Linked DNA regions of Mus musculus: all the other regions are reported to be linked to region 4. The links are microRNA targets in miRTarBase. Many come from high-throughput screens and were not tested one by one. Region 4 holds a microRNA gene; each other region holds the end of a gene's coding sequence. Distances are from middle to middle.
What was found. The annotated mature microRNA mmu-miR-144-3p reads UACAGUAUAGAUGAUGUACU and lies in region 4 at 2,609-2,628, shown strand. An mRNA with a match to its seed (bases 2 to 7 or 8) in the 3' UTR can be bound and repressed. Matches are read on the target gene's strand: a 7mer-m8 pairs with bases 2 to 8, a 7mer-A1 pairs with bases 2 to 7 and ends in A, and an 8mer does both.

Region 1: miRTarBase lists Sptbn1 as a target of mmu-miR-144-3p. The part of its 3' UTR that is shown has no 7-base or 8-base seed match.
Region 2: the mRNA of Mapre1 is a reported target of mmu-miR-144-3p. Seed matches in the 3' UTR shown: 7mer-A1 at 114-120.
Region 3: miRTarBase lists Cab39 as a target of mmu-miR-144-3p. The part of its 3' UTR that is shown has no 7-base or 8-base seed match.
Region 5: miRTarBase lists Spred1 as a target of mmu-miR-144-3p. Seed matches in the 3' UTR shown: 7mer-A1 at 1,797-1,803.

Annotation. Positions count from the first base shown.
Region 1 is chr11:30,096,124-30,102,078 of GRCm38, reverse strand. It overlaps Sptbn1 (spectrin beta, non-erythrocytic 1), which reads left to right. Exons shown (of 35, transcript NM_175836.2): 34 at 424-466; 35 at 1,365-2,684. The coding sequence ends at 1,583. Among named protein-coding and RNA genes, the nearest start is that of Eml6, 73 kb to the right of the region's middle.
Region 2 is chr2:153,766,468-153,772,367 of GRCm38, reverse strand. It overlaps Mapre1 (microtubule-associated protein, RP/EB family, member 1), which reads right to left. Exons shown (of 7, transcript NM_007896.3): 7 at 1-5,494. The coding sequence ends at 5,438. Among named protein-coding and RNA genes, the nearest start is that of Efcab8, 9.8 kb to the left of the region's middle.
Region 3 is chr1:85,847,895-85,853,849 of GRCm38, forward strand. Cab39 (calcium binding protein 39) reads left to right here. Exons shown (of 9, transcript NM_133781.5): 8 at 383-526; 9 at 1,139-3,683. The coding sequence ends at 1,327. Among named protein-coding and RNA genes, the nearest start is that of Itm2c, 44 kb to the right of the region's middle.
Region 4 is chr11:78,070,439-78,076,393 of GRCm38, forward strand. It overlaps Mir144 (microRNA 144), which reads left to right and starts at 2,567; the gene lies at 2,567-2,632. Eral1 (Era (G-protein)-like 1 (E. coli)) reads right to left here. Exons shown (of 10, transcript NM_022313.2): 4 at 5,795-5,841; 5 at 5,552-5,613; 6 at 5,284-5,396; 7 at 4,953-5,201; 8 at 4,040-4,189; 9 at 3,842-3,922; 10 at 2,938-3,736. The coding sequence ends at 3,614. Mir451b (microRNA 451b) reads right to left here and starts at 2,803; the gene lies at 2,732-2,803. Mir451a (microRNA 451a) reads left to right here and starts at 2,732; the gene lies at 2,732-2,803.
Region 5 is chr2:117,175,969-117,181,923 of GRCm38, reverse strand. Spred1 (sprouty protein with EVH-1 domain 1, related sequence) reads right to left here. Exons shown (of 7, transcript NM_033524.3): 7 at 1-4,622. The coding sequence ends at 3,975. Among named protein-coding and RNA genes, the nearest start is that of Mir674, 6.2 kb to the left of the region's middle.

The DNA.
Region 1 (5,955 bases), 48 Mb from region 4:
TGTGTGACTTCATAATGACCAGGGGCCATTGTCGGGCCAGTGCACATCTCCAGGCCTGGTCATCAACCCATGGAGAGCTCTATTGACATCTCTGAGGTAAACCCATGGCCTGCTTGTGACCCACCCTAGATAAGGGGATCATGGGGTTTTGTTTGGTTGGTTTGGTTTGGGTTTGTTTTGTTTTGTTTGTTCTGTTTTGCTTTTTGAGACAAAGTTCCTCTGTGCCTGGCTATTTTGAAAATCAAGCTATAGACCAGGCTTGCCTCAAACTCACAGAGATCCACCTACCTCTGCCTCCGGAGTACTGGAATTAAAGATGTACACCACCATACCTGGCCTGTATTTTTAATTTATATTTTTTAACTTTCTAATATGAAATTGTTACCTACATAATTATAAAATGTAATTTTCTTGAAATTACAGACTAAGTGATGGAAACGAGTACCTCTTCCAAGCCAAAGATGATGTAAGTTACTACTGGGTTTTGTTTTCTCAGATACCAAAGCTCATGGAAGTATTTGTGAGGTGTTCAACTGTCTGGTCTTCATAGCCACCAACACTAGACTAAAAGAAGAAAATATCATCATGTTCCTCATTAAAGGAGGGAAACTAGAGCAACATCCACTAGATTCACTGGAAACTAGGAGCAAGGAAGGCCCTTGCCTGCTGCTCCTTAGAGCAAGGCACAGAGAGGTGGCCCAAGTCTGAGTATATGTCCTGATGCCCAGTCCAAAGCCTCTACACTGTACTCCATTACCATTAGCCTCACCTCCTTGGAGAAGAGAGGGTCACCTCAGTGATCATAACATGTGCAGCAATTTACATTTTAAAAGGCCCCTTCCACCAGGAGAGGTAACTCTGGAAAAGGGCGTGGGGACGTGTAAGATGGCTTAGTTGGTAAAGGGCCTGCCATCCAGTCTGATGACTTGAGTTTGATCCCCAGGACATACTTTATATAAAGAGAAAATCAACTCTGAAAAATTGTCTTCTGATGAGCATGAACTTACGTGTCTACACACACACATACACACATGAAAACATTTTTTTAATTTAGGGAGGAAAAACACTTTCTAGAATGAGAGTGATATCTCACAGCCTTAGTCTAGTCCTGTAGCTCTTGTAGGTATGTAGGACTACATCCCAGAGTAATGGTCTGCGGGTGCAGAGCAGTGGGCCCATCTGAGGGGCTAAGCCATATCCTCTGTGGTATTGAGAATGTAGATAAGCATTTAAGGACAGTGACCCTAGAGGCACTGCTGCTGAGCCTTCTAGCTGTCAGGCTTGGATCGTCATGGAGGTAAGACCAACTCCTCATGCCCGCCCCTCTTGACCAAGTCTTAACCTGTGTCCCTTCCTCTATCTAGGAGGAAATGAACACATGGATCCAGGCTATCTCCTCTGCCATCTCCTCTGACAAACACGACACATCTGCCAGCACCCAGAGTACGCCAGCATCCAGTCGGGCGCAGACCTTACCCACCAGCGTCGTCACCATCACCAGCGAGTCCAGTCCTGGCAAGAGGGAGAAGGATAAAGAGAAAGACAAAGAGAAGAGGTTCAGCCTTTTCGGCAAGAAGAAGTGAACTTCCCTGTTGTCCCGCCCTTCTCTTACCTTTAGTAAGAGTCCAGCATGCAAGTTCCGACCAACACATTACTCTGTGCCTAATGTTCCTCCATGTAGTTGATTTTTTTTCTTTTCTTTTTTTTTTATTTTTGAAATAAATTTTTTAATTTATAGAGTATTTCTGAGGGGTGGGGGAACCATACCTAAACACTTTATCTCCAAGTTTAAAAAGTTTGAGGTACAGAGGGAAGGCCAGATTTTTTTAATGAAATTATATAGATTAGATCTCAGTATTTAAACTGTTCCTCAATTTTGTGAGGCTGTGTTGGAAATAACCCGCCTCTGATGCTGTTGGTATGCAAGGCAGTGGTGCTTACACAATATTTCCTGTGCTCTCCAGAGACGATGGACCGATTTCCTGACACTACTCTCCCTTCACTTCCGTGGTTACCCTGAGTCTTGACTTACAAATGCCCACGATGGGTGTAGCCTTTATTAAACAGATCATGTATTCTGATCTCTTGCTGCAGCCACAGTGCAGCTCCATGTAAACCTACAGGCCAAACCATTTGTATCCGGCATCACTTACTAACACACAACATGTGGCTTTTCTGCATCAATTGCTGTGACAGTTCAGAATGTTGGTATACAAGAAAGAATAGAAAATTGATAAGGTTTTAAATAATCTGTAATTTCAGTCTCTTTTTTTCTGAAATACATTATATTGTATGTTTGAGATAATTCTAGTACAAAGTATAATAAACTAGATGTATAATAAACCCTTTAAATCATTGCTAAGTGTATAAGTGGAACTGAAGCATTTACTGGACAAAGTAATGTTACTCTAATGGTTACTTGCTTGTGCGTGGCCACACTGTTATAATTTGCTTCATTACCCTGCTATTTGATACATAGTGTGCATTTCTCTGTCACTGTAACTATTGTAATAACAAATTTTCATCTTACTGCACAATCAAAATGGCATCTATAGTAATGACCTCCAGAGTCTGAGCTTGGACAGAGAGTGGGCGCTCAGGCCTGGTGCTCCATCATACGACCTGTACCTCTCAACTTTTGCCCTGTTAAATATATGCTATGTCATTAAATGCTTTTAAATCTAGCCTATGACTAGCCGGTGTTTTTCCTTCCCTGTCCAAGCATGCCTAATAGGGAATTTGCAAAGTGTGTGAGTGTGAGTGTGTGTGTGTGTGTGTGTGTGTGTGTGTGTGTGTGTGTGTGTGTGTGTGTGTGTGTGTGTGTGTTGGCCTTGGAAGCTGTAACAAATGAAGAATGAATAGGCGTGGTGAATGGTGATACTTTTCATGTCTTATAGCCTTAAGACCTGCACAAGGAGAGGCAAATGTTTCATGAAAAAGAACAAGGGATAATAATAAATACTATAGACAAAGGAAGGCTGTCTTCCCTTACAGAACAAAAGCCATTCTTGGTAATATGCAAAAACTGGACATGGCTATGGTAGTGTTCATTGAGTCTTCCTCAATGTCAAGTTTGCCACAGGGCTTCCTAGTGCTTAGGACTTCTGAGGTGGACAGTCAGAGGCTATCTTGGTTGTGGTATCTTTCAAATCTAGCAGTCAAGGTTTCAAATCTAGCAGTCAAGGTTTACTGGTCAAGGCCTCAGCAAAAAGCACTAGGCAAAGGTGGTTCTGCACTCAGGACTTTGCTGAGCCCTGGTTTATTGTGTCCCTGTCCCCACACACCCTCGAGGGTGGATGGATATGATGGGGCCATAGAGGCAAAAGGCTTGTGAACGTTTCCATTTGGCCTTCACTTCTCCCTTTGAGAATTGGTTACACTTTGGAGACCCACTGTATCTCAAGTGGGAATGGAGGCAGAGGAATGCTTGCAGGTTCCTGAAACTAATTCTTTTAAAAGGCCATTTCATCTTACCCAGACACAAAAACTTTCTCTTTGGGGTGTCTGGGTAGGAGGGAGATTTCCACAAGGCACTGAGGCCAAATCCTAGCACACACAGTTCATTTCCCAGGAGCATCTGCTCAAGAGTGGAGTTGCCATTTTAGATTGTTTTAGTGAATTACTTCTTTTATTCCCCAAGCATAATTTTCTGAGGGAAATCTGTTGCTCACTGTTTAAAATCTCCCACCCAGAGTCTTCATCTAAGGTAGTGGTTCTCGACCTCTGGGTCAAGAAATGAGATATGCGTATCAGATACTTATATTATGATTAATAACAGCAAAATTACAGTTATGAAATAGCAACAAAATAATGTTAGGGTTGGGGTTCCTACAACATGAGAAACTATGTTAAAGGGCCACAGCATTAGGAGTGCTGAGAATTTAGTGTAAGAATGGCTTAGATTTTAAGGGCACTGTCCTATCCACTTAATGAAGATGGCATAAAGAGTGTGGATTGAAGCCAGTATTTTGTGCATAAATCAGGTGCTTTCTGGCTGCCAGCTGTTAAACGTCCCTGCCACATCTTTCTTTTTTTGTTATGGCCTTGTTCCTGTGCACATGTGATCATTTTATCTTAGTTTACACCTTACCTTCTGCTCTTTGAGACCAGGATGGTTAAACTAGGATTCCTACCAGCACCATGTCAAATATCTCCAATTACTTATGCCAAGCACCCTCTATGTGCCAGCCACTCCAGGAAACAGTGCTCAGGGGTATAAGTGCCACACTCCTTGCTATGTGCTCCAACCTCTCTTGACCTCAGGAGGGTCTAGATTTCAGAGGTGAACACCACTGTATATAACTCAAGTTCTGTCTACCTGGTAGTACTTTGCTTTTGAACATGTTTGCTAACATACTTAAGCCGTCCTCTGGCTGTCCTGGAACTCACTCTGTAGTCCAGGCTGCCCTCAAACTTAGAGATCTCTTTGCCTCTGCTTCCCAAGTAGCATCCTAATATTCCCCCTTTATTTTCCGTCCACAACTGACTTGGGAGAGAAGACACTGGTTACTAAATAGGAAGGGCTTCAAAGGGGCCCTGTTCTTATTGTTCTTAAGGTACAATCTGCAAAGCTCACTGCTCCAGAAGTTGGTAGAGGAATACTTCAGATATACCTATAGGTCAACAGCAAAAAGCTAATGTGGGGTGGTACACATTTCCATGTCAAGCTGCAGAGACAGCTGAACAGTTAAGAGCACTTGGCTGTTCTTGCAGAGGACCCAGGTTAGGTTCCCAGCACCCACACCTCTGGCTTCTCAGATCCAGCCAGCAGTAGCTATAATTCCAGGAGATGGAACACTGTTTTCTGGTTTCCACAGGCACCAGGCATACATGTGGTGCACATACATAAATGCTGGCATATATACATACATACATACACATAAATCTTTTAAGTTTACACCTTAGCAAAATCCCCGTCTTAGTTAAGGTTTTCTTGCTATGAAGAGCCACCATGACCACAACAACTCTTATTATAAAGGAAAACATTTACTTGGAGCTGGCTTACAGTTTCAGAGGTTTAGTCTGTTATTGTTCGTCATTGCAGGAAACATGATGGCATGCAGGTAGACATGGTGCTAGAGAATGAGTTGAGAGGGTGTTTTTGTTTTGTTTTAAAATTATATATTATGTATGTAAAGTTCTGCCTACCTGTATGCCTACATGCCAAAAGAGGTTACCAGATCTCATTATGAGCCACCATTTAGTTGCTGGGAATTGAACTCAGGATCTCCAGAAGAACACCCAATGTTCCTAACCTCTGAGCCCAGGAGTTGAGAGTTCTACATCTTGATCCACAGGACTGCCACACTGGGCATAGCTTAAGTGTAGGAGACTTCAAAGCTTGCCCTCACCGTGACACATTTCCTCCAAGTCCACACCTCCTAATAGTGCCACTTCTTTTGAGACAAGCATTCAAACACATGACTGTGAGGGCCATTCCTATTCAAATCACCACACCTGCCAAAGGATCAGCAAGAAAAACACTAGGCAGGAAGAGCCTAGAGTTAAGAATAGAGAGGAATCTTGCTTGCTTGTTTGACCTGTGCCTGCTCCTTGGCGTGCTCTGTTCATTGTGTTTCAGCAGAGATGGGCTGGACAGTGGCAATGTTGAGCCACTAGAAGCAAGTTTGGAAATAAGGTCTTCCAAAAAAAGGCTGGAAGGAGGCAGAATGTCCTACATTCCCCGGGAGGGGAAGGATTTAAATTTGGGAATAGAACCTGTTCACTTAAATTAAGACATTTAACATGGTTGTAAGGGAGAAGGAAGAAGAGCCCTGATACTGTCCTTGGGTTCTGGGGCTGGAGGGCCCCTAGCACTCAAAGCCCAACCAAGAGAAGTGCCTTTGCCACTTTGGCTGTAACCAGCATTTACAAGTGTTAGCTGATAGTGCATGTATGAGGTGCTCCCCTTAGCCTTGTTACCTCATTCATGTGACCTCAGAGTGATGCTAGTCA
Region 2 (5,900 bases), not on the chromosome of region 4:
CTGGCTCTTCCCTCCACCATGGGTTCTGGGGATTGAGGTCAGGTTGTCAGAGTTATACAACACACACCTTTACCTGCTGAGACATCTCATCAGCCTGAAACTAGAGATTTTTTTACAGTAAAAAAAAAACCCACAAAATTAATGTTTCTTTTTTTTTTTGGTTTTATTCCTACAGAAAGTTGATTTTTATGACTGTTTCTAATTTTCCCATGACACACACTAACTTAATGGTAGGGTTTTTAAAAATTATATCCTATTTTCACTGACTAAACTATCAGTATTTAACATAACTAAAATATGCTAGGATATAATTTCCTCCTTATCTGGAAGAAAAATGGGGTGGGAGGAGAAATGGACTTAGTTACAGTGTATTCTATTCATTTTAGGAAAAAGTTCAAAAGAGTCAAAATATAATCAATAACAAGTTTTTTTTTTTTATGTGGGAAAGCATATAGAAGGAAAAATCTAGATAAGTCTCAGCATAGTGATTCAGGAAAAGTTCAAAGCCAACTTGAAAAGGATTCAGACATTACAACCTAGAGAATACCTTTGAAAATATGATCTCATCCAAGGGCATGCTGATCACCAAAAGGGCCCTCAGGCCGGCAGGAGCCACAGCAGACCCAGATCCTCACAGATACTTCTTCATTCACATTCAGCAACACCAATGCTGTTTTAACATGCAAGCCAGGAATGATGGTGCACACCTGTGATCCCAGCACTTGTGAGCTCCAGGCCAGCCTAATCTGCATGACAAGTTCCAGGTCAGCCAGAGCCACATAGTGAAACCCTCTCAAAAATGAAATAAATTACTGAGGTGTGAGGTGACACATACTTGGCATCTATACCTGTCTGTATAAAAATAAAATAAATAAACCACATAGCTTACCATCCTCAAAAGCAGTTACAATTTTTCAAAATAAAACAACACTCATGGGGCTAACTAAATATGTGGCTTGGCTGATATTTGCTCAGCAGATATGAAGGCCTGGGTTTGATGTTGGGCATGGTATAACATGCCTATAATCCCAGCATTCATTCAAAATCACCCTAGAATATACATAGTGGGTTCAAGGCCAGTCTGGAATAGATGAGACTCTGCCTCAAAACAACAAGAAGATTTAAGGCTCTGGATTCAGGAGGTTAGAAATGTCTCTAAGGTTAGACCCACTCACCTAGGCAATCAAGTTAATGAAGCTACCTGGCAACAATGTGACCAGAAAGCCCCTAAGCTACAAGAACATTAAATCAAAGAGGAGAGAAAAGCATTGGCCTTCACAAGTTACAACTAGGTAGCACTAAAGCCATCTAGGTCAAGGGTCAGTCAGTTCAGTAAAAGCACAGAACCCTCCTGGTCTTTGAGAAAATCCTTCCTACCTTGTTAGAACACAACTCAAACACTATGTAGAGGCAGTGAACATAATGAAGATACATGAATATCATCTTGTTCAGTTTTGAAATTTTATGACCTATGAAGAGTTCAAAGGTATGACATCATCACTCACAGAAAGTAACAGAACAGAAAAATAACAATGATCACAAGCTATCGGTTAGCTTGCTGAGAGCACTTCCTTTCACTCTCCCTGCTGACAACGGTGAGATTTGGGTCACACACACACTAGCAAGCTAATCTGGCCAGGCTTGCCAGGCTTAAAGCCCACAGACTGATTTGTGAACTAAGCAAACCATGAATTAGGGGGAATCACCCAAAAAGCTCCTCACACTAACCCTGCTGTAGCCTTTAAAGGAAAGCTCCCCTGAGGAGACCCATGGTTACTGCAAAAGAAAACCGCTTCTGTCCTCACTTCACATCCTAGAGGGCAATTCTTGAATCACGGATGGTCTTTTTAAAGCCAGTGAACTGGGAGTCAACAATTCCTCATTTGCACGAAATCCAGAATGTGTTTAGCCCTTCACCTGGGAACAGCAGGATGAAAGCTGCCTGAACACAGAGGAGCTGGATGCCACCAGCCACCAGCCACCAAGCTGAGAGAGAGCCAATGAAGAACTCAGCACTTCACTTCCAAAATACCCAAGTCGTGCCCTGAATTTTTAGGGCATAAAAAACATGTTCTACGTTTTTTTCTAATCTATAACAACTTCTGGCCATGAAATAATGTCTCCTGTTTCCAGACAACAGTTTCTGCACTTGGCCTGTTAGTTTCCTCGGATTCTAAAAAACATGCAGAGTGTGAGGCCCTTCAGCCAACATCAGAGCCCTTGATTTGCAAACAAGAAAAAAACAAAATAAAGCAAAGTAAGAGGTGGATTAGAACCCTCACATCTGATGTCTCACTGACACGATAAGACTTAAAGCTTCATCTAAGCAGGGCCCAGGTCTAGGCCACCTGAGGGGCCTTAAAATGCAGATTCATAATCTCCCAGCTCAAGAACTTCCAGGGCCGGGCAGTGGTGGCGCACGCCTTTAATCCCAGCCCTTGGGAGGCAGAGGCAGGTGGATTTCTAAGTTCGAGGCCAGCCTGGTCTACAGAGTGAGTTCCAGGACAGCCAGGGCTATACAGAGAAACCCTGTCTCAAAAAACAGAAACAAAAACAAAAAAAAAGAACTTCTGGGGATGAACTTCTAAACATTCTACACCAATCTCCCAAGAAATTGGGAAGCAATCACATCAATTCGGCCTGAAGAACCTATCCTGAATCCAAACCTATCTGCAGTAGCCTGTTCCTCTACATACCACAGACCTTGCCAACAGCACGTTCAGGCTGCACCATCCTCCTAACCTGAATTAGTCACATTAAGGCTTTATACAGCTAAGCCAGGTCAATGGATACAGTCTCCACTTCACCTCTTACCTAATAACTTCTCAGCTAACAGCACACAACATACATCCCTTCAGGGTTTCTTCTTAAAGATGATGAATGCAGATGGTGCCAAATTATTCCCCAAACTGGTAATGATTCTGGATTGAATCATTATCAACCTCCAGGGGCAGCAGTGAATATAAACGTCACAAAAATCACTAAGTCCCACTTCCACAGCAGCCAGAGTACTGTACGTGGTACTCTCAAGATCACTTCCACAGCAGCCAGGGTACTGTACATGGTACTCTCAAGAGCAGATGAATTACCTTTCTGCCTATTTAACATTTCAAGACAACAACAGGAGAGGATCATATTTTCAACTCATTCTCAAAGGTGTAGGACTTTATAGAACAGTTTTAAGAAGCAACAACTTTACTCTCCAGTTTAAGAGTGTACTAACTGACTTTGTAAATGCATTTTCAGGACAATGAAACAATTACCTCCAATTAAATCATCTGCCAAACACCGGCCAACTACATTCCTAAGAGCCTTAAGCAACTAGGTCAGGCTTTCTGTTTCTGTGAGGAAAACCTTCTCAGGGTAACAGGAATTTAAAGCAGTAGAAGACTGAAAAATGTAATGTGATTTTTTTTTTTAAAAAGAATTCAAAATAAGCAATTTTAAGCCAGGCACGATGGCACACACACATAATCTTTCAAGAGAATGAGGAAGAAGGACTGTGACAAATATGAGGCCAATCAGGACAACAATACTAAAAGCTCTGTCTTAAAAACCAAAAGGAGGGAGGAAGAGGAAAAAGAGGGAGGAAGGAAGGGAGAAGGAGAAAGGAGGATAGAGGAAGGGGAGAGCCAGATTAGTTAGCTTGAGAAAAGTGAGGGATTTTAAAAGATTAGTCCTATTTAAGACGGTGGGAATCATTTCTCAGCCTCTGTCTAAGCTCAGCCAAAGATGGATGCATAGCTATCTTACCTCTAGAATTAAAAGCTTATACCCAAGGCAAGACACATTTCAGAAGACAGGACACTCTTGAAATACAGAATTTTATTTAAAAACTGTTTAAAGTAGAAAAAAACCCTGTCAAGAAAGACCAGGTGGAAAATGGGTTCCCAATAAAATGGAATTTGGGGGCAACAGAAGTCTGAAAGGCCACAGAGGAGAAACAGCACCGCTGTCGTTTGAACAATGGCTCGTTACTTGCTTTTTGTTTGTTTTTTTTTTTTCTTTTTTTGGCATTGTTAATCACTGAGCCTGGATTTTCCTCTGAATTCCACAGAGCATGCACTACATAACATTCTGTCATAAAATACCTGTTTCCTACACACAGCATAAGACAAGCTACCACCAGAAACAAATCAGTACAAACACATCAGGGGCTGAACAATCTCAGTAGTGGGTAACACATTTTGCAGAGTTCGCCAAACAAAGGAATTGAATAGGCTATGGGTAAAGCAATTGAGGGAGAATTAAGGAATGAAGTATTTTAAATATTAATATTTCAGTCACGGTACTGTATATTCTTTAAAAAAAAACATTTTAACATTTAGTAACACACTAGAGAATTTTATCTCCAAGAGATTAGTGCACTGGCAAAGTACTCAGGTGACAATGGGGAGCAGTGACCAGCAGACAGCGAGCACCCTAGCCTCACAGAGCACAGGTGACACTGGCCTTCACTGATCACTCCTTTGCCAGAGGTCCAGCAAGAACTTGCAGCACGATCACCTGCCTGCTGTAATTACAATGCTCAGCAGCAAACTTAAGGAGCCAGAGGAGTTTCCAGAGGTCACAGGGAGCAGAGAGAGAAGTGTAACTGTAAACTTAAAAGACAGTGTGCTGGGACTCCACCCCCATTCAAATCCCAGAGACGTGGGCAGGTCCCAGAAACACAATACAGAGGAACTGGAGGGAGAGTTTGAAAAGATCCAGAGGACTGCTCGATGGGAAGCTGAGCTCTTCGCCTCAGGCACTGCAGGGCCCAGACGCCCTCTAGTCACACAAGCAACTATGCTGCTTGCTTTTAGAGCAGGGGTGCAACTGGTCATTGACACAAAATGGTTTTACAGAACTTTTCAAACTTTACTTCTGGGCCAAAGTCGACATCTATAAGATTCAAGCAGCCTTGAAAGGCCTACACAGCAGGTTCCAAAGGGCCTAAAGTCTGCCCTTCCTTCCCAGACACAATGTCAGACACATAAAATCTCCTGTCATGTTACACTGTATGTTTTGAAATATGGAAGCATATTTTAAATACTCTTAAGGCATTTATTTATTAAAACGTTCTCTGCCAGAATTTCACATTAGCTTAGAATTCAATTCAGTCTTTGCATTTCTGAGGTTGTCACCTCTCGTATTATAAACCCCCTTCTCCATCAGTCAGTGTGACCAGCATCCACATGAAGAGCCCCATGGTTGGCCTCTTGTTCCCCTGGTAAACCAACTAGATGTTAATACTGCTCTGCTACAAGGCAAAAGCTCCTAACTCAAACTCATCGGAAAAGGTGAGACTTCTGCAAAGTGCACTTTGAAGAAGAGGTACTTTTTGCTTATGAAAAGAAACCAGTGAATCCTCTAAGATTAATAAAAGGGAGTATTAACAGTTAAGCACATGATTTGGAGTGAAGACTTCGGATGTTGCTCTGCTGGTCCAGGCTGCTTAATACTCTTCTTGTTCCTCCTGTGGGCCCCCTTCATCAGGTATCACAAAGCCTTCCTGAAATGGGAAATGAAAAGAAAGGAAAGCTGTCACTCAGCAGGGCCAGCTCCTCCCTCGCCTCACTGACCTCACAATCTAAGCCTCACATGTAGGCTCCTCCCTGTCGCCCACACGCCTGGCACTGAAGCATGACCAGGTGGCCACTACTGTATTCTTTAGACAATAGCATCCATTTCTTTTTTGTTTTGATTTTTGATCAAAGGTCTCCCTACACAGACCTTGCCTAGCCTAGAACTCAAATATAAACCAAGCTGGCTTCAAATTCACTGTCCTGCCTCTCTGCCGCCTAAGTGCTTAGTTTAAAGGTGTGTCCACCACCCAGCAACAGCACCATTTCTTAATGCCAAAAACTAAGCACAAATTATTCTCATAGCATTAAGAAGCAGTGAATATTTATGTGTCT
Region 3 (5,955 bases), not on the chromosome of region 4:
GTGCCTTCAGCTCCCTGCTTGGTTTCTTACCATCAGGGCTGTCTTGAGGAACCACTGCCGAAGAGTCAGTGAGGCCGGTGTGAGAAGATGAAGCACTTAGCTTGTGCTTAGGTAAACACCCTTCATCCCGGAAAGCAAGTCCTGCTAAATAGAGTTTAAAACAGGAAAGAGATTACTTAATGTTAATAATCAGAACTTCCTAGTACCCTTTCCTTCTTTTGGGTAGTGGTAGTTTGTTACATTGTCCATTTTTATTTTTGTTGCTGTGTTTTGAAACTAGTCTCTTCTACCATCAAGTGATGACTATCAAATGGGTTGTTTAATTTTTTTTTATTTGCTTTAAGTTTTAATAATTTAAGAGTAATGGTCTATGTCTTCTCAGCTTCTGGGTGAGCTGCTGTTGGACAGACACAACTTCACAATTATGACAAAGTACATCAGCAAGCCTGAGAACCTCAAGCTAATGATGAACCTCCTCCGAGACAAGAGCCGCAACATCCAGTTCGAGGCCTTCCACGTGTTCAAGGTGAGCCGCCCGCCCGGGCACCGGTGCCAGCTTCTGAAACTGGTCACTGCAGTTACTAAACTAGTGCCTGTTTTGGTAACCAAAGTGATAACTCAGTTCAGTCAGAATGTTTAACAGAAGCGGGACCTGGATGGAAATGGGCTGTGCCCTTGTACAAGAGAATGGGATGGGAAAGTATAGTCAGAGAGGGTGTTACTCTCTTCAGCTTGCACAGAAGATAGTTGGAGACAAACACGACCCCTGCTGCCCTTCTCCCCCACCCTCCCCTTCACTCTTTCTGCAGATTCAGTGAGGGCTGGTGCAAAGCCAGAGGTAGTTTTAATGCTTTCCTGGGGGGGCGGGGGGGATCCTCTTAAATTTCAGTCTGACCTCTTATGCCCAGAAATAATTTGATTCTAAAAGTCAAAGTCGATATTTAGTCCTAAGTGCTGTGTTTCAGGGTTGGCAGAATGACTTGGCAATCTTTGTGCTAAACATGTAGTCATTATTATTACCCTCACTATCATATAAAAGTAAGTTCTTCTAAAGAAAAACCCCTGGTCCCTGCCTGCCCAGGAGCTTGCTGGATGGACACTGATGTCTTTGTGACTGGCGTGGTGTTCTCTTCTACAGGTGTTTGTGGCCAACCCCAACAAGACGCAGCCCATCCTAGACATCCTCCTCAAGAACCAGACCAAGCTCATCGAGTTCCTCAGCAAGTTTCAGAACGACAGGACCGAGGACGAGCAGTTCAACGACGAGAAGACCTACTTAGTCAAGCAGATCAGGGATTTGAAGAGAGCCGCCCAGCAGGAAGCCTAGTGTCTACTCAGCCCCGGTCCCATCCAAGCTCAGCACTGGCTGTCAGCTCCTCAGCATCAGGCACTCTCATCGGTTCATGGGGAGCACTACTGCTAATCTGCTGTTAAGTGAACGGTTTTTCATTTTACCTTTTTGTTTTTCAGTCCAGGTTGGAGAACGTAGCTGCTGCTGCTTGCACATTAGAGCGCACGTGGTCTTTCTTTCCCTTGATCTCTGTGTCATTTCAGAACTCACAGACTCCATTTGCTACAGGAGTTCTGAACATGGCTGGGTTCATGAAAGCAAATGAGAGTGAGAGTGGTCTAGGGAAAAGACGGTGATACATCGCTGACACCTGCCCGTCCATCGGCACTGCTCTCTGCAGGTCTGTGCAGTATGGCACGGGCATACCCACCATCTCTGCCGAAGGAAGATGGCGCATACAGGGATTGTTGGAGAACTGTATCCAGTGTGAGCTTTGGGGAGGATAAAGTTGGTGTGCAAATAAATTGATACTGAAGCTTAGCAACTTGTCAAGTGTGGAGCTTCATAAGGTCATAAGAAAGTGTATATATGCTTTTTCACAGCTTTCTAGAACTTTGTGACATTTGATTTTCTTGAAACTTGTAAACCTGGATAGGTTGAAGGGTGTTTTAATTTTACTTTTGAAGGTGTTTTAAAACAGTAGAGCTAGCAGCAACACCTTATGTTTCATTTCAACACTGCTTACAGGTTTCTTTTGTATATAATTCTTAGAATGCTCATTTCTTTTAAATCGTTTAATTTGTACAGCAGAGGAATGTTATTGTAGTAGTATGTAACTATTACCTGAGTTTTGCAACAAACAAAAAACAAAAAAAAGAATGCTCATATGTAATTGAAATACTTGAGATTACATGAAAATGCTGATTTTAACATTTAAGGATCACAGCATTAAAAGAAAAAGAACCAATCCCTTGTATTCAGTTACCCAATGGGGCGCCGTTGGCAGGCAGAACTACATACCTGGAACTCTGTCTGCTACATATTCTTGCAGAATATTGGCCTTATTCATTTAAAATGAGTCCTAAGGTTGCCATATCTATGAATGATACAGATTATGCTAAATAATGCTGGTTTTTTTGTTTTGTTTTGTTTTGTTTGTGAGGGACCTCCTATAGAGCACCGTTTCTTTCTTAGAGTAATATCCAGTACAGTAGCCGAGTAACTGAATAATTCTAACTTTGGCTTCTCTAAGGGAAAGAAGAGCCCTGGTCCTGATGTCCTGGGAGAGATGGATGGGTTTAATGTCCTTTTCCTTAATGCTGCAGATGATCAGTATTTATAAAGTAACCGATTTTGCACCACTTTTTGTGACTGTGACCACAGCAGAACAATGTCTCCTAGACTGTATCTACATAAAGTTACTAGAATGGTGTCTGTCTGTCTTAGTGACACACGGATCACAACTAACAACTTAAAATCAGAGTTTGCCCGATCCAATTCAGCATGGCTGTAGCTGACTAAAAAAATTTACATAATTATTCTTTGTTAGCCTCTCTTACTAACTGAATTATTCATTGGCCAGTAAAAGGAGCCTCCTAGCTGACGTTTTAGCAGGTTTTAAGGTTTCCTTCAAGGAATACAAGTCAGAAAAACCACTCCAGAAAATATAGGTCTGTTCTATTTCATCTAAATGGCAGTCTACAGTAAAGGGTTTCCAAGGCTCTCTTTACCCATGTGCGTGCGTGTATAGTTGATGGTCTCTAGTAGAGATAGAGAAAGCATTCAGGCTTCTGGACAAGGACATTCTCAGCTGGGTAGTGTGCAGACTCAGCTGTGCTAAGTGACCCAGTCCTTGCCACCGCGTTGTGAGTCAGGATTTGGTGACAGAGTGGCCATTTCACCAAGTGGAAGGAGTGTCTCTTTGCCAAGCTAGCTCTTAGAACTTGAGACAACAGAACAGTTTCCACTTGGGCTAACACAGAGAGCGGTGCTAGAGTCTTGCTGTGGAAGATGGGATGCAGTGTGTCAGGGAACTGTCACTCACACATTGGAAGCTGAGGGCTGAGAAGGCTTTCTGGATTGTTTTTAAACAGAACAATGTGAAAACATTCAAGATTGAAAAGTTGCATTTAAAGTGTGATCACTTTCTAGGTTCCTATTACCAGAACGATTATCCTGGGTGTGGTTTCTTTGGTGTTATAAAGGGTTAATTTTACTTAAGGCAGTTACTTAATGTGATTTTTTTTTTTTTAACCCTTAAAAAAAGTGGGAGATGTATACAATTGTTAATGACATGAAAGTGTTTCCTTTCTCCTGAGGAAAAGTGAATTTCTTATCAGAATATCTGGCTGGCCCTGTAATTTAAATTAAAATAAAATTTTGGAGAAACTGTCTTGTGATGTCCTTTAGACAGTCATATGTCACTGTGGAGAATTCCATCAAGAGACAAAAGCACGTGATTTGTCAGTGGGTAGGAAATAGTTAACACTTTTTTCCGTACTCAAGGTTTAGTGCGCCTGCAGTTTTACCCTTATCTTGCCCCTGTGTGAGGTGATTATTGTGTCACATAGCCCATTCTTGTCTCCAAGTTCAATATCAGTGGTACCATTTTATGGTACCTCTGCCCACCCCCATGGGAGTGTAGATGTATCTTTTGTTCCTTTATCAACAGTGGAGACTAACTGCTTGACAGGGAGACTTACAGGTCACCGGAGCATGTCCATGGTGAAGGTGAGACCTAGAAAGCCTAGTCCTCTGGCACCAAGGCCCATGTGGCCCCTATTCTGTCTCCAGAGGTGGCTCCTCGTCTATGTACAACCCTGCCAACACTTAACCTTGTCAGTCAATAAGCTCTCCATTTTGGGCCACAGAGCACAGGGCCTGCTCTTGCCAGCGATACTTCAGTAGAGTAAAAGCATCTTACTGTTCATCTGCCAGGCCAGAGTTACCTTCCCCGAAGCTCACATTCCATTCCCTACCCCCATGGTCTCCATGGGATCCTTGCAGTCTTCCAGCTGCATGCTGACCAGGCATCCTGGGCTGCTTATGTCCATCCTAACCTGCAAGGACTCATGGGCTCATGATCATTGAATCCCCAAGGGCTGCAGTGTTCCACAGTCACCCCAGGTCGTAGGGGATCCCACTACCCTTGCATTGCCCTGCCTCAACCTGGTTGCTCTGCCAACCATCGCTGAGCTGCTTCCTCATAATTCAACAACTAGACCTCAGGAGTGATCTGAAAATTTCCTACCATGTGTGATCATCAGTTTTCTTCTACTAAAGCTTACTTCTAGTTATCCCATGTACCTCCCTCCACGAAGCACTTAGGAGGCCAAGACTGTCTTGCTAAGGCCTGGAAGCTCCGGGCCTCCAGGAATCTGTCTCCCTGCACTCAACACTACCCTGAGGGCCAGTGACTGCACAAAGATGGAACTGTTGTGGCACCATCCCCTACAAGGACCTCAGAAACCCATGTCTGATTCCCTGTATTTGTGTCCCTGGAGAGCGCTCTCGCTCTCTCTTTCTCTCTCTCTCCCCCTCCCTCCCTCCCTCCCTTTCTCTCTCTCTCCCTTACACACACACACCAGGTTCCTGGATAAGAGATTACATCCTCTGCAGTTACCTGCAACTCAAGTACCTTGTAGGTGTCTATGGACATAATCTGCATTTGCACACAGGTGACAGGTTTTGTAATTTTAGCTGATCAAAATTAAAACTTCCCAGGCAATAACTTAACCACCTGCAACTCTGTGGTCCCTGGAATGTGTCTCAGTGACACTCTGTTGGGTGGAAATGGGGATAGATACATTTTGCAGTAGGTGGAGTTAGGTGGAGTTTCCTTTCTGTTGAGATGCAGATGTGAACAGTGGCCTCAGTGACTAGCAGGCCATTGGAAACTCCCAGGAGCCACTGGGGTCCTGGCCCTCTTGGAGTTTCTACCAGTGGGTAGAGCTGGATGCCAATCTGTAACTTGGACTCAGGACCATCAGTGTGCCTTGTACACTGCCTATATATGATGGCCACGGGGCCCTTCTCAGGACCCAGCAACTTCTCTGATGATGAATGACAACTGGCTCGTAGGAAAAGAAAAACTGCTTCTCAATCTGTCTGAAGTGTGTTCATCTGCCTTCTGGACTCTGAAGCAGGTCTGAGCCCCAACATCCACCATAATACCCAGCTTTGATCCTCACTGACCCAAGTGTTTCCCAAGACCTGGTCCCAAACATGATATTGCCTCATTGGAAGCTGTGTCCCAAGACTGTCCCAAACAGCCTGCCTAGCACCCCATCCCTGTAGCAACCCAGCCTCTAGGTGGCTGCACTGAGCTGCTTTTATGCTTTAAGCCCACTGGAGGGCAGTGTAGTTCCTTGGTTTAGTGCTGCAGATTTATCTGGGCATTGAAAAGACCTAGGAGTCCAGTTTTTGGGGGGGTTTTGTTTGTTTGATTTATTTATTTATTTATTTATTTTGGTTCTGGTGGGTTTTTTTGGTTTTGTTTTTTTTTTTTTTTGTATTATTTATTTAGGTTCTGGTGTTGGGCAGCCTGGAGATTGTTGGAGGGACTTCACTTTCAAACAAGCTGGAGTAGTTAGGTAGGGATAGAAACAGATGTGGGGAGCAGAGGAAGCCCTGGGTGAATGTGGTGTTGACATGAGTATGCCAGT
Region 4 (5,955 bases):
GAATATTCCATGGGAGCATGGAATGAAGGCAGATGCCTACCTATAATTTGGCATGTGAAAGCAGGATCAAGTTATACAGGAAATTCCTGGCCAAACTCAGACACATACGAAAGCAAGCAAGCAAGCAAGAGGGAGGGATGGGAAAAGGGAGGGAAGGAGGGGAGACAGAGAAAGACAGAATTTCAGATGCCTAACAGAAGCCTGCCTTCCCTGTGGTCCTCTGTGGGTAGCAGAGCAGACTTGGGCCTTCGCTTATTTGAACTCCAGTGGCTAGCATCTGTGCCTTGTAAAAGCACTTTATGCAAGTCAGCCTGCTGGCAAAGGCCTGTAATGCCAGTTACTTGGGAGGCTTGAGGCAGGAGGATTAAAAAAAAATCAAGGGCTGCCTAAACTATACAGTTAGCTTCAATGTCAGCCTGAGCAACCCAAAACAGAAAGTGAAAAGAGGGGCAGAGGGCGGAGGTGCAGTGGAGTTGTTCCAATGCTTGCTCACAGCCGTAAGGCTCTGGGTCCATTCTCAGCACTGAAGAAACCTGGCATAGTGGTGAAGGCCTGCAGCCCTTGCACTCAGTAATCAGACACAGGAAGCTCAGAAGTTCAGTGCCATCCTCAGTTACAAATGGAATTTGAGCAGGTGGTGATAGCACAGGCCTTTACCCCCAGCAATCAGAGGCAGAGGCAGGCAGATCTCTGTGAGTTCAAGGCCAGCCTGGTTTATAGTTTCAGGACACAAGTCTACAGAGAAAGCCCATCTTCACAAACAAAGGAAAATAGAATGTGAGGCCACATGAGATTCTGTTTCAGTAATAAAAGGAGACCATGGCAAGATATTGCACACCTCTAACCCAAGCACTCAGGAGGCAGAGGCTGCCAGATCTCTAAGTTCCAGGCCAGCCTGGGCTACATACAAAGTTCCAGGCCATCCAGGGATACACAGTGAGATCCTTTCTCAGGACAAAACAAAGAAACAATAATAAAAGCACTGTCACTCATACCTACATAAGATGTGTCTTTAAAGAAAATTAAAGGCCGGGCGTGGTGGCGCACGCCTTTAATCCTAGCACTCGGGAGGCAGAGGCAGGCGGATTTCTGAGTTCGAGGCCAGCCTGGTCTACAAAGTGAGTTCCAGGACAGCCAGGGCTATACAGAGAAACCCTGTCTGGAAAAACCAAACCAAAAAAAATAAATAAATAAATTAAAGAGTGAATAGATAGAGAAGCGTCCCTGTGGCAGGGACACTTAGGGACCTGACAGTGCTAACTAGGTGAGGGGAGATCAGGCATGGCAGAGGTGGAGCAATGCTGGAAATAGACACCTCCACAGAACCGAAGGTTAGGTCTCTCCTCCCACTCCCATTCACCACCCCTCACCCCCCACCCTCAAAGGAAGAAACAGACCAGACTGTCTAGGATAAGAAAGGGGGCGGAACATCCCCCAGAATGAGGGTCTAAATAGCAGAGGCTCAGCTGTGGGGAGTGTCTCAGCACAAGTTTCTGCTTCTCCACAGGGAGAGACCCAAACATATCAGGCTCTCATTGTGTCTTGAGCTCTGATGAAATGCCCCGGCCCTTACACTGGCTCCCACAAGGCCTGGGGGCTGAGGTGCTCCTCAGCTTCCCAGCAGAGGCCCACTTGTCCACGGACCTTGCCAGAGGTGGCTTGCAAGCTTCAGCTCTGCCCACCCAGCTCAAACAGAGTCAAAGCCTAGGGATGGAGTCAGGCTGAGGGTACATGGAGCCTGCTCCCAGATAGATTCCATCTAGGTCCAGTTGCCAGGACCTCCCTGTCCTATTCAGATTCAACTAACATTCCCATCATCACCCACAACAAACTGGGACCTTTCAGCGAGGCCCGAACAACTAAGCCCTGAAGGACGTGGTGAGGGTCTTTCTCTTTCCTAGCCCAGTGGGGTAGGCAGGTAACCTTCTTTGTGGGGTTGGGGGTGAATGGTCACCCACTTAGAAGACGGGAGGCAGGGTGGCGGTGTAGTGTCAGTGTTGGGGTTCTTGGCTAGCATCTTCAGCCTTCAGTTTCATTCCCAGCACAGGAAACTAAGCAGAAGATAAACAAAAAGGGAGCCAAGCCTCAGCTTGTCTCAGGAAGCCAGCAGGCAAAGAGTTAAGAAGCAGGGACTTCTAGAACCCGGGAAAACGTGCCCCACCCAGGGGAGGGGCCAGAGGGTTAAAAGCCAAGCTGCTTGAGTGAGAAGAGACAAGGCAGGCTCTCCCTGTGCAGAGGATTCCCTGGACGAGGCTCCAGCTCCACTCCAGCTCCAGGTAAGCAGTCCTTGGAGTGGCTGTCAGCCTGCTTATAGGTCTGCCCAGAGGGAAGCTCCTGCCTCACAACTTCGTTTCTGCCTGTAACTCTGGATCCCTAAGAGACCCGAGTAGACCTTAGCTTCCTTCTCTAAGCCACCTGGGGTTATCCTGGACCACAGGATCAGGGAGATGCTGCTCTGGGAGGGAAGTGGAGGAGCAGAGGTAGGGACTTAGGTGTCCCTGACTGACCCTGAGCCAATCCCCTGGCTCACTCCAGGCCTGCTGCTCACCTCCTCCTCCAGGACCTTGGCTGGGATATCATCATATACTGTAAGTTTGTGATGAGACACTACAGTATAGATGATGTACTAGTCTGGGTACCCCACCTCCAGAGCCTGCCTGGTTTGCAGCAGAGATGCAGAAGTACACGGGCTCACTGCTCGGCCTAATCAAGCCTGCTGACAGCTGTGGCACTTGGGAATGGCGAGGAAACCGTTACCATTACTGAGTTTAGTAATGGTAACGGTTCTCTTGCTGCTCCCACAAACTGTGCCAAGAAGAGCTCATGACCCTGGAGCAGACTGCTGGAAGAAAAGGACACCCAGGCTGACAAGAGAATGGGGTTGGGGGAAAGGGTACATTTTCCTCTTCACTGTGCCAAAGAAATAAAAGATAAGAATAAGAGCACTTGTCATTTAACTTTATTAGCATCCGAGGCTGGGTGGTTGGATGGGATGGGAGGACCTTTGTGAGTTTAAAGCTAGCCTGATCTATGTAGAGATAGCCAGCCAGTCAGAGTTGTAGGGTAAGAACCCGGTCTCAAAAAAAAAAATAATAATAATAATAAAAGAAAAAGGAAACACGGGTCCTTATGCAACTTCAAGGTGAGGAACTTGGGGGAGAAGAGAAAAATTGTGTTCCTACCAACAACTGGAAACTCAGGGCAAGAGTTTGGTTCCAATGCTAGCGGGGTGGACATGACTTAGAACCATGGGTTCTAGGGTGTGGTTCAGCATGTATCCTATACAACTGACTGAGACCCTAGGCAGAGGAACGCCCCGAGAACTGAGCTAAGTGGAAACATGGTTGGGCAAGCACTGTGCAGACTCGGCAATGCCAGGCTGGCTGGCACAGGACCTTCACAGGACCAAGGGCCTCTCCTCCCATTGATGACCGACCGACTAGGCCATCCTCTGCTACATATGCAGCTGTAGCTATGGGTCCCTCACAATGGAAACCAGTCAGTGTCCATGGCCCTTCCCAGTCCTGTAGACCCCTCTGACAGGGGTAGTTCTAGTCAGTGACTCTGCCAGCAGCTTGAGCAGGGATCCACTGGGAGAAGCAACAGAGGATGGTCATTTGAGGAGTTTCACAGAGAGGCGGATGAGAACGTCACAGTGGAAGATGTCCATGAGGTCCCGGCCCACCTCCTGTGCAATCTGGGAGATCAAGAGGCCCTTCTGACCAATCAGGATCCTCTGCAAGTAGTGAAAAGAGAGGCACATGGTTCTGCTCTTGGCCTCACAGATGGGGAAGAGGCCATGGGTAACACTGCTACCCTTCTCTGAGCATCCCTCACTTACCACATGAGATTCTTTGGGCACCAGAAGGTTCTGTTGGATCACTAGCTCTCCACTTGGTCCTTCCTCCCATATCACTGTCTTCTGTATAAGGAGACATCAGGACTAATCAGGCAGGCTCATCTCTGTATCTCTTGGTACCCAACTGTTCCAGGGGTGTGCCTGGTATACAGGCACTGTGTCCTTTTCCTCTGCCCACACCTGCTGCACACCGTAGGGCACCTCCTCAGGCAGGTACTCTAAGAGCTTCTCTCTGATTTTATTGGCACAGATCTCTTCGGGTGTCTGGCTAGTGAGCACACCACTGTGGAACTCCCAGGGTCCTGGCTGGGCCTGTGTCAGAAGGTATTGCTGTGGGAACAAAGGAAGAGTAGGTTCTTAACCCCCATCAGAACATTTGTTTATGCATGCTTCTAGGAGGAAAAGGCTATGACCCATCCTCATGTAGCCCAAGCTGACCTTAAAATTACTACATAGTAGCTGACTACAGGGGCGAGCTGCCACAACTGACTGAAACACCTTTAAGAGAGCATCTCAGGCAGATCAAGCTGGCCTTGTCCATCCTCGTTTGTCCAGGCTGGGAATGAGCCTCCAATCTTCCTGTCTCTATCTCCTAAATGCTATAGTAGCAGGTGTGCACCCACGTGTGTGTCCAGCTTATGTGGGGCTAGATACTGAATCCAGCACACGAGACAAGCATTCTACCAACTGAGATACATTCCTAACTTTGTTTCTGGTCTCTATGTTGCTTGGCTGGCCTAGAACTCACAATGGAAACCAGGTTGACCTCAAACTGAGTAATCCTTCTACCTCTGCCTCCTGAGTGCTGGGATAACAGCTGTGTGCCACCACCCCTGGCTGTTTTCTGTTTCCTGAGACAGGGTCTCATTGTAACTGAAGCTATTCTTGAATTCACTATGTGGTTAAAAATGACCTTGAAATCCTGATTCTCTTGCCTTGGCCTTTCAAATTCGGGGATTACAAACATAAATGACCAGAGCCAGAGTTTTGTTTTGTCTTTTAAAAGACAGGATCTCGGTGGATATCAGGCTGGTCTGGATGAGGCCTATCGTAACATGGTAGAAGTGGTGGATTATGGGCAAGGCTAACTGACCTTCAATGTGTTCACATCCTTGTTGTTTAGTGCTGATAACATGAAGATCTCCTGGAAGTAGGGCCAGCCAATTCTCTGAGGGTTCCTCACTGAGTGTGCATTTGGGCCCTCAGTTTCAGGGCCAGGGCAGTGGGTGCTGGAGCGTGAGCGCAAGGCCTGCTTGATATTAAGCTTCTTGCCATTGACAACACCTTCAGTGAGGGCTGCTGTCAGCTCCAGGAGAACTGACTTCTGCTTCAGGCAATCTACCTGGACATGCGGGATGAACAAAGTGCATGGTGAGAGCCATGGGACTCTGGAAGGAAAACTCTCTCACGTGGGCAGTCCTTACCTTGTTTAAGACGAGGATGCTAGGGACCTGAGAGAACTTGGTCAAGCACTGCAGCACCTGGGGGTTGAGCCGACTCCTGGTCCACTTGTCTGACACATCCACAAGAACTACAACTAGAAGGTGGCAGACAGACAAAAGGATATCTGTAACCTTCCTCCTGACCCACGACAAGTTCCTGGCTACGGGCCCCAGCCAGACCTCGGCTCCCAAACTCCCAGGAATGAAAGGCCCCATTAATAGGGCTTCAGATCTTTAGTTTGAGTCTAACCAAGATCAGCAGATTCCATGCTCGTCCATGGATCTTCCAGCAAAGAGCGCTCCAGATGGTGCCTAAAGAACAAATGTATCAGTCAGGAAGGCTTATGACTGGTCAGTTCTTATGAGGAATGGTAGATAAAAGGGAAAACTTCCAGCTCCTATGAACAAATATCCCCTCCCCCTTTTCTCCTCTTTTTAAAAAAATCACCCCTCCCCCAACAAACACACAAGCATGTGTCCCCATAGCTAATACCTCTTCTGTTTAACAGGACTGATGATGCCAGGTGTGTCAAGCAGAATCTAGAATCAGAAAGATACCCACACCGCCCCCCCAAAAAAGAAAAGATTTTTAATGGACTAGTGGAGAAAAGGGCCACACACACTTTAAGTCTTAGGATTCAGTCCAGGGCTTTA
Region 5 (5,955 bases), not on the chromosome of region 4:
AACCTGTGCATCTTTAATACAAAGGCTTTCGACTAGGAAATTCTTGAAAAAATGAAATAAAACTAATTGCTTTTGCAAATTTAGCTTTTGGGAACAATGGATGACAGTGTACCAAAGCAACTGAAAGGTTTCTAATTGCCCAGCTGCTAGGTAACTGGTACCTTTTAAAGCCCCCTGTAATTTTCCTTCCCTCCCCACCTTCATTCTGGTTTGTATAAATCACCTCTGTTTGTCTGTGTGCGCATATTTTTAATATTTTCTGTTTGACTCCCTCTATTTCTCTACTATCATTTACTAGCAACTTTTTGGTGTTCCCTGTAAGACGCAGAAGTGGGATCTAGATCAAATCAAGAGGAAGAGCAGCGACATTTAGTGATGAGTTGGTTTTATCGGTTAACTGAAGTTCTCCAAGTTACTTTTCAGAAAAGCTACACTTGCTCAATGTGCTGCTGGACTACAATTAAAATTACTTTAAAACACATTAATCCAAGTTACATGTTGCAAATATAATCAGACATTCAATTTTAACAGAAAAAAAAGATCCATAAAATTCTCTCCACCACGTTCTCTGCACTTTGAAGACCGACACGAACACTAAGAAATGCCTGTGTGCCACTTAGTTACGGGAGAAGAAAGAGGGAGAGGAGAAGCAAGTTTGACCCAGAGAACCAGATGGCACTGTACACATGAATCCAAAGTGCATTTGTAATAGTTCAGAAGCTCATTTTAGGCACTGCTGAATAACCAATGAAAATAGGTAGTTTCAAGTTTTTCTCTTTAAATTTTAAGTCCTGCCTCATCAACATCTACTCAGAAACATACACACTCTCTGGAGTTGTCATGATAAAATACAGGTAATTATGTTTATTTTTTTTTTAATTCTCCCTGACTGGTACTGGGAAGAAAATAGGAATACCATTTTGGTAATGGCTTCTGAGTTGAAGAAACTGGTTGTATAAATGCTTCAGTACATACATAAGTTTGATTGCCAGTTCCAAGTTTCAATAAATATTTTAAAACAGGATGTGTAAGGAAAAAGTGCTTCAATTCTTCCAGCAACCATATGCATTTGGGGAAAGACTTACTTACACTCCTTAGCGCTTTTCCTCACCCCCGATTTCTCTGGTGGGCACTGGCCACCCTGAACAGCCCACAGCCCTCCTTTACTGGAGACACCATTTCCATCTTTCAGCGCTGGTCTAAAGCCATCCAGCAGGTGGCACTGCAGCTCCGCAAGCACTGCTCAGGAAATCTAAGGCTTCCCCACAGGCTGCAAGCATCCTCTGAGAACTACAGATCAGGAGCAAACAGGCCCCCCAGCTGGAGAATTTTTGGGTCACGCTATTCAGATGATTTCATTTTCAATATTTACTTTTACTTCACCAGTTTTGTTGAGCTATCTGCTTACATTCTAGACAAAAGAGAAGTTTTAAAGAAAATGCCCAATGGCAGCGCCCAATCTGTACAGTGAACAAGAAATCATTCTTGAATCCACCTACACGTACATGTTGGGAATTGGATTAAACTGTCCATCTAATTCACAAAGAGACTCATTAACATTATATCATCAGTTTCTTTTCTGGACTGGCTTGAATTCATGTGTGCTAATTACAAAAATCCAAGGTTAAAAAAAAAACAATTTCATTATCATAGTTTTTAATGAAGAGAAATGTTTAAAATTGTAAAGGAAAAAATGGGAACGGGATGGCAAAATCTTAGCAGCAAAGTGGTTAAACAAACTGAAAATATTAATGCACAAACATTAAAATATTAAAGCATGTACGTTGCGTATAAAATACAGTACAGAACCAGGAGATGCACTATAGTGACTAGTGCTTAACAGAAAAAAAAAATGATTAATTTTGTTCTTCTCAGAAGTATATACACAGTTTATTTCCATGGCATTTCCTATATTGCCAGCAAGTTATTTTCTTTAGTTATTCACACCTTGCTCCAACCTGAATTACAAACCCAGAACTTACAAATATGGATAATCACTCATAAGGAAAACCAGGACTCTACTTCAGCAAGAAAAAGGAATCCTGAAAGGTAACAGTCTGCTCTAGGAAACCAAGCTCCTCTGAAAACAGCAAGGACGAAGATCATCTATCTGTGCAGCAGCCTCCAATGTAGAAACAGTAAAAATAAGACTGAAAATTGCTGCGACAGTGTCTGGTTTTGGATTTAGTTCATCCAATTGATTTTTAGTACAAAACTAGAAATAGCCTCTTCTTCATAACATCTATAGTTATCAATATATTTTTCTTCTTTTCAATGTGAAATAATACTTCAAGATGATCTATATACATAATGTTGTCAGTTCAAGCTGTCATATAAATATAAATGCTTTCTTAAAAAAAGTATTTTACAGACAGATAGTGTTATATATATATACATTGTTCAGTTTAATCTGGGGCAAAAGAAGAAAGCCAACACAAGCCGAAGTGTGACACATAAAACTGACTGCACAGAAATGACACTGAAAACCTGGAGAATGGACTTCAAATGGTAGTGTGATTTTCATTTTTATCACTTCAGAAACTTTAATCCATTAAAAAAAAAAGGCAAAAAAGGCACACTGCTTTCTTTCCTGAGGGAGTATTTTGCAACAATCCCTCACAAGAGTTTTAATAGTAACACTTTAAAAAAACAAAACCAAGACAATTTGACCTCAAAGTATTTTTAACCTGTTTGCTGGAGCATATCACACTACTTTGTAAATCAAACATCCCATAATACAAATGCTCTGCGACAGGAATGTGGTGTATAAGATTTCCATTCACAATGGTGGATTGAATACTTTCCTGGGAGAATTCTGCATATGTGTTACTGCAAAGTAACTTTGCTCCTGAAATATAATAAAATGCAACTGAAAGGTATTAATTACCATTGTTATGTGAGTAATAAGCACAGAAAATCAGTGAAACAGCTGTGCGAGTTCTGGCTCAGCAGAGTGAGAAATGGAGATCTCAAGCGGAAACTGTTTCACACTAACTATCCAGTTAATGCTTCTGCCTTGTAAAACGTTTATAAATGCAGTTAAGTTCTCTGAAGGAGGAAACTCTGAAAGAAAACAACTTGCTGGCTGAATACCACAGAAACAAAACAACTAAAGGAACCCTCAATTTCTTCTGTTTACTCAATCTCTTTATATAAAAATAAGTGTTACATTTCCATCAGAACATTAGACAATTACATCTGTGCTTTAAAAAAAAAGGTTGGTCACTCAAGGCTATTAGAGTATTTTAAAGATTTTAGATCTCCAGAATGTACAGATATGACTCAATATAAACTGCAGCCCAAGAGAGCTGAGGATGAACTCACCGAATCTCTCACATGGACACAAACGTTATTAACTAGATGAGTTAACTACTCAACACATATGGAATGTGGTGGCAGATATGTGCACATCTACCTCAGAACTAGGAAGGGCAAGAAAAGTTTAATATGTCATAGTTCGTACCTTACATTTAGTTAAATATAAACATTTGTTATTTATACATAAAACTGCTTTCAAAAAACAACCAATGATTTAGTTGCACTTGTCTTATCTCTTAATTTCCCAAGTACTAACTTTTCTGTACTGAAATCACTGTCCCTTAGTGCACTTTTTAGTTAATGTCCTAAAGAATTCAAATCTTTAAAAAGTCCCATCACCTAGTGCATAAATATGAAAATGCCAAAATTAATCCCTTTTAGTTGGATCCTATTCTATGTTGACCTTTTGTAATCAATAACCAGAAATGACTGCCTTCTGAAAATGCTCTGTGATCTGTCCCAGAACATGCCATGCACTCAGGGAAACAGGCACGGCTAGCATCTGTAAATCACAAGAACTGATGAGTTCTGCTTCCTCCACGCATGGCCCCAATGATACCGGCAAGATTCCATATTGCTTGCCAACAGCTTCCACAAATCCAAGTTAGCTAATTCCTGGAGATGAAGGTTTAAGCTCATGCCGGCCCTGGACTGCTTCACCCAGCAGCCTTATGTTTCCCACCACAGCACCCGCATGCCTCACCACAGCGATGGCACATTCTCAAAGGGACGTAGCAGCACATACATGGTACAATGAAAGACAGAGCTACCAGGGCTAACCACCTTAGGCAGAACTTGTCATCGCTAGTGTCACACGAACAAGGATCAGAAAAGTCTCCCTCTGAGTCTGACATACAATGATATAGCATGCTCTCAGCACAGAGCATGCAGCTAACTTGATATATGCATCTTTTAACAGGATCTGGAGCGTCCTGGCATTTCCCCCTGGCGTTTTCTTCATGATTAAACCTTTCCTGGCAGTATACGCAGCGAGAACGTTCCCCATCCTCTTTTCTTCGTTTTGACTTAAATTTTAACGAGGGAGGCTGTGTCTTAAATACCACAGAGTCTTTCAGAGAACTTAACTTAGTCTCATCCCCACAGTGGTAGAGATAGTCTGACTTTTTACTGTCTTGTTTAGAAAATGGAACACTGGAGTCAGTATCATCTCTCTCCAAGTCATTTTTCCACATGTCCGGATGTCTGTAGTCTGCATATCGACGTATTAAGATATCTCGAGGATTTATTCTAACAATCTCATCCTCATCTTGAAAGCTGACATGTCTGATTGACTTCAAAGGGACCTAGACAAGATAAAAATTGCAGTAAGGACGATGGTGGTTGATTTTATGTCAGTGTGGTAGGATGACCCCCACCTAGGGATTCATTCAAGGAGCTCTGTGACCAAGTTTTAACTGAGATCAACACTTCGGCTGCTGGACCACAGCCAATCAGACAACACCTGAAACAAAGACTACCTCCCTGTAGAGCAAGAGGAAGTTCTGCCAGCAGGGTGCCTTTGCACACAAGCTCCAGTTTTTCCCTCATTCCATGCTAATGGCTTCTCCTGCATTCACTTTTCTTTCTTTCTTTCTAGTACTGAAGATTAAACTTAAGAGTCTTATGCCTGCTAGATATGCAGTCTACCATCGAGCTCCATCGGCTATCTCTCTTTGCCCTTTGTATTTTAAGGTAAGGTCTCACGAGGCTATCAAAGCTGCTCCTGTGCTCTCATTCCTCTTGCCACAGCCTGGAGTACCTGGCCCTGTAGGTCTGCGCCACGAGACCTGGACTAACTTTTGGCTTTGTATCCCATTTCTGGATGAGCCAATCCCTTCCAACAGGAGCTCCATCCGCTCACCCCTGGTTCTGTCTTACAGATTTATAGTGCCAAGAAGCTGGGAGCCACTGTAATACAGCTTTAAAAATGGAGAAACGGATAATAATTTTTAACTAAAAGTGTTTTATGGTAGAGAAAGTACAGGAAGAATATGGCCTATAAGGTCCTCCTGGTGAGGACTCTGAAAAAAAAAACACCATACTACTGGACACAGGGAGAAAGAAAATGGAAGTGGCAAAATCAATCATGTTTGGTACACTTGGAAGATAAAACTTGGGTGGAAAGATATTCAGAAATGCTGTGCAGTTTTCTTCATGTTGCTTATAATATCCTGTGTGTGAGTGTGTGTGTGTGTGTGTGTGTGTGTGTGTCTTGCGCACACACGCAAGGACAAACTGAAGGACTTGCTAAGCAATTGGATAATCTCCAGTGAAACTTTATTAAAAACACTGGGGAACTGGAGAGGATACCAGGCAGAGCTGGATAAAGCAAAATGCTGCCAACATGGACGAAAGCAGCCAGGACAGGGTGAAGACAGGAAGGTTCAATCTCTGGATCCCTTCACAACATGCCAAGAGCACTGTGTGGCTCCAGGCATGCCCGAGCTCTCAGGTAAAGAAGCCTGAATTTGAAGGCTGAGATATCTTCTGCAGTTTAAGAGGGCAGGCTAGTCTCCTACTTCAGTAGACCATGCATGCTTTGGTATTCTAAGACCCTGATGGCAGCGATGAGACATGGGGTGAGGCAGAAGTGTGGAGGACTACCAAATCAAGAGCAAAATAGGACAAACCCAAACC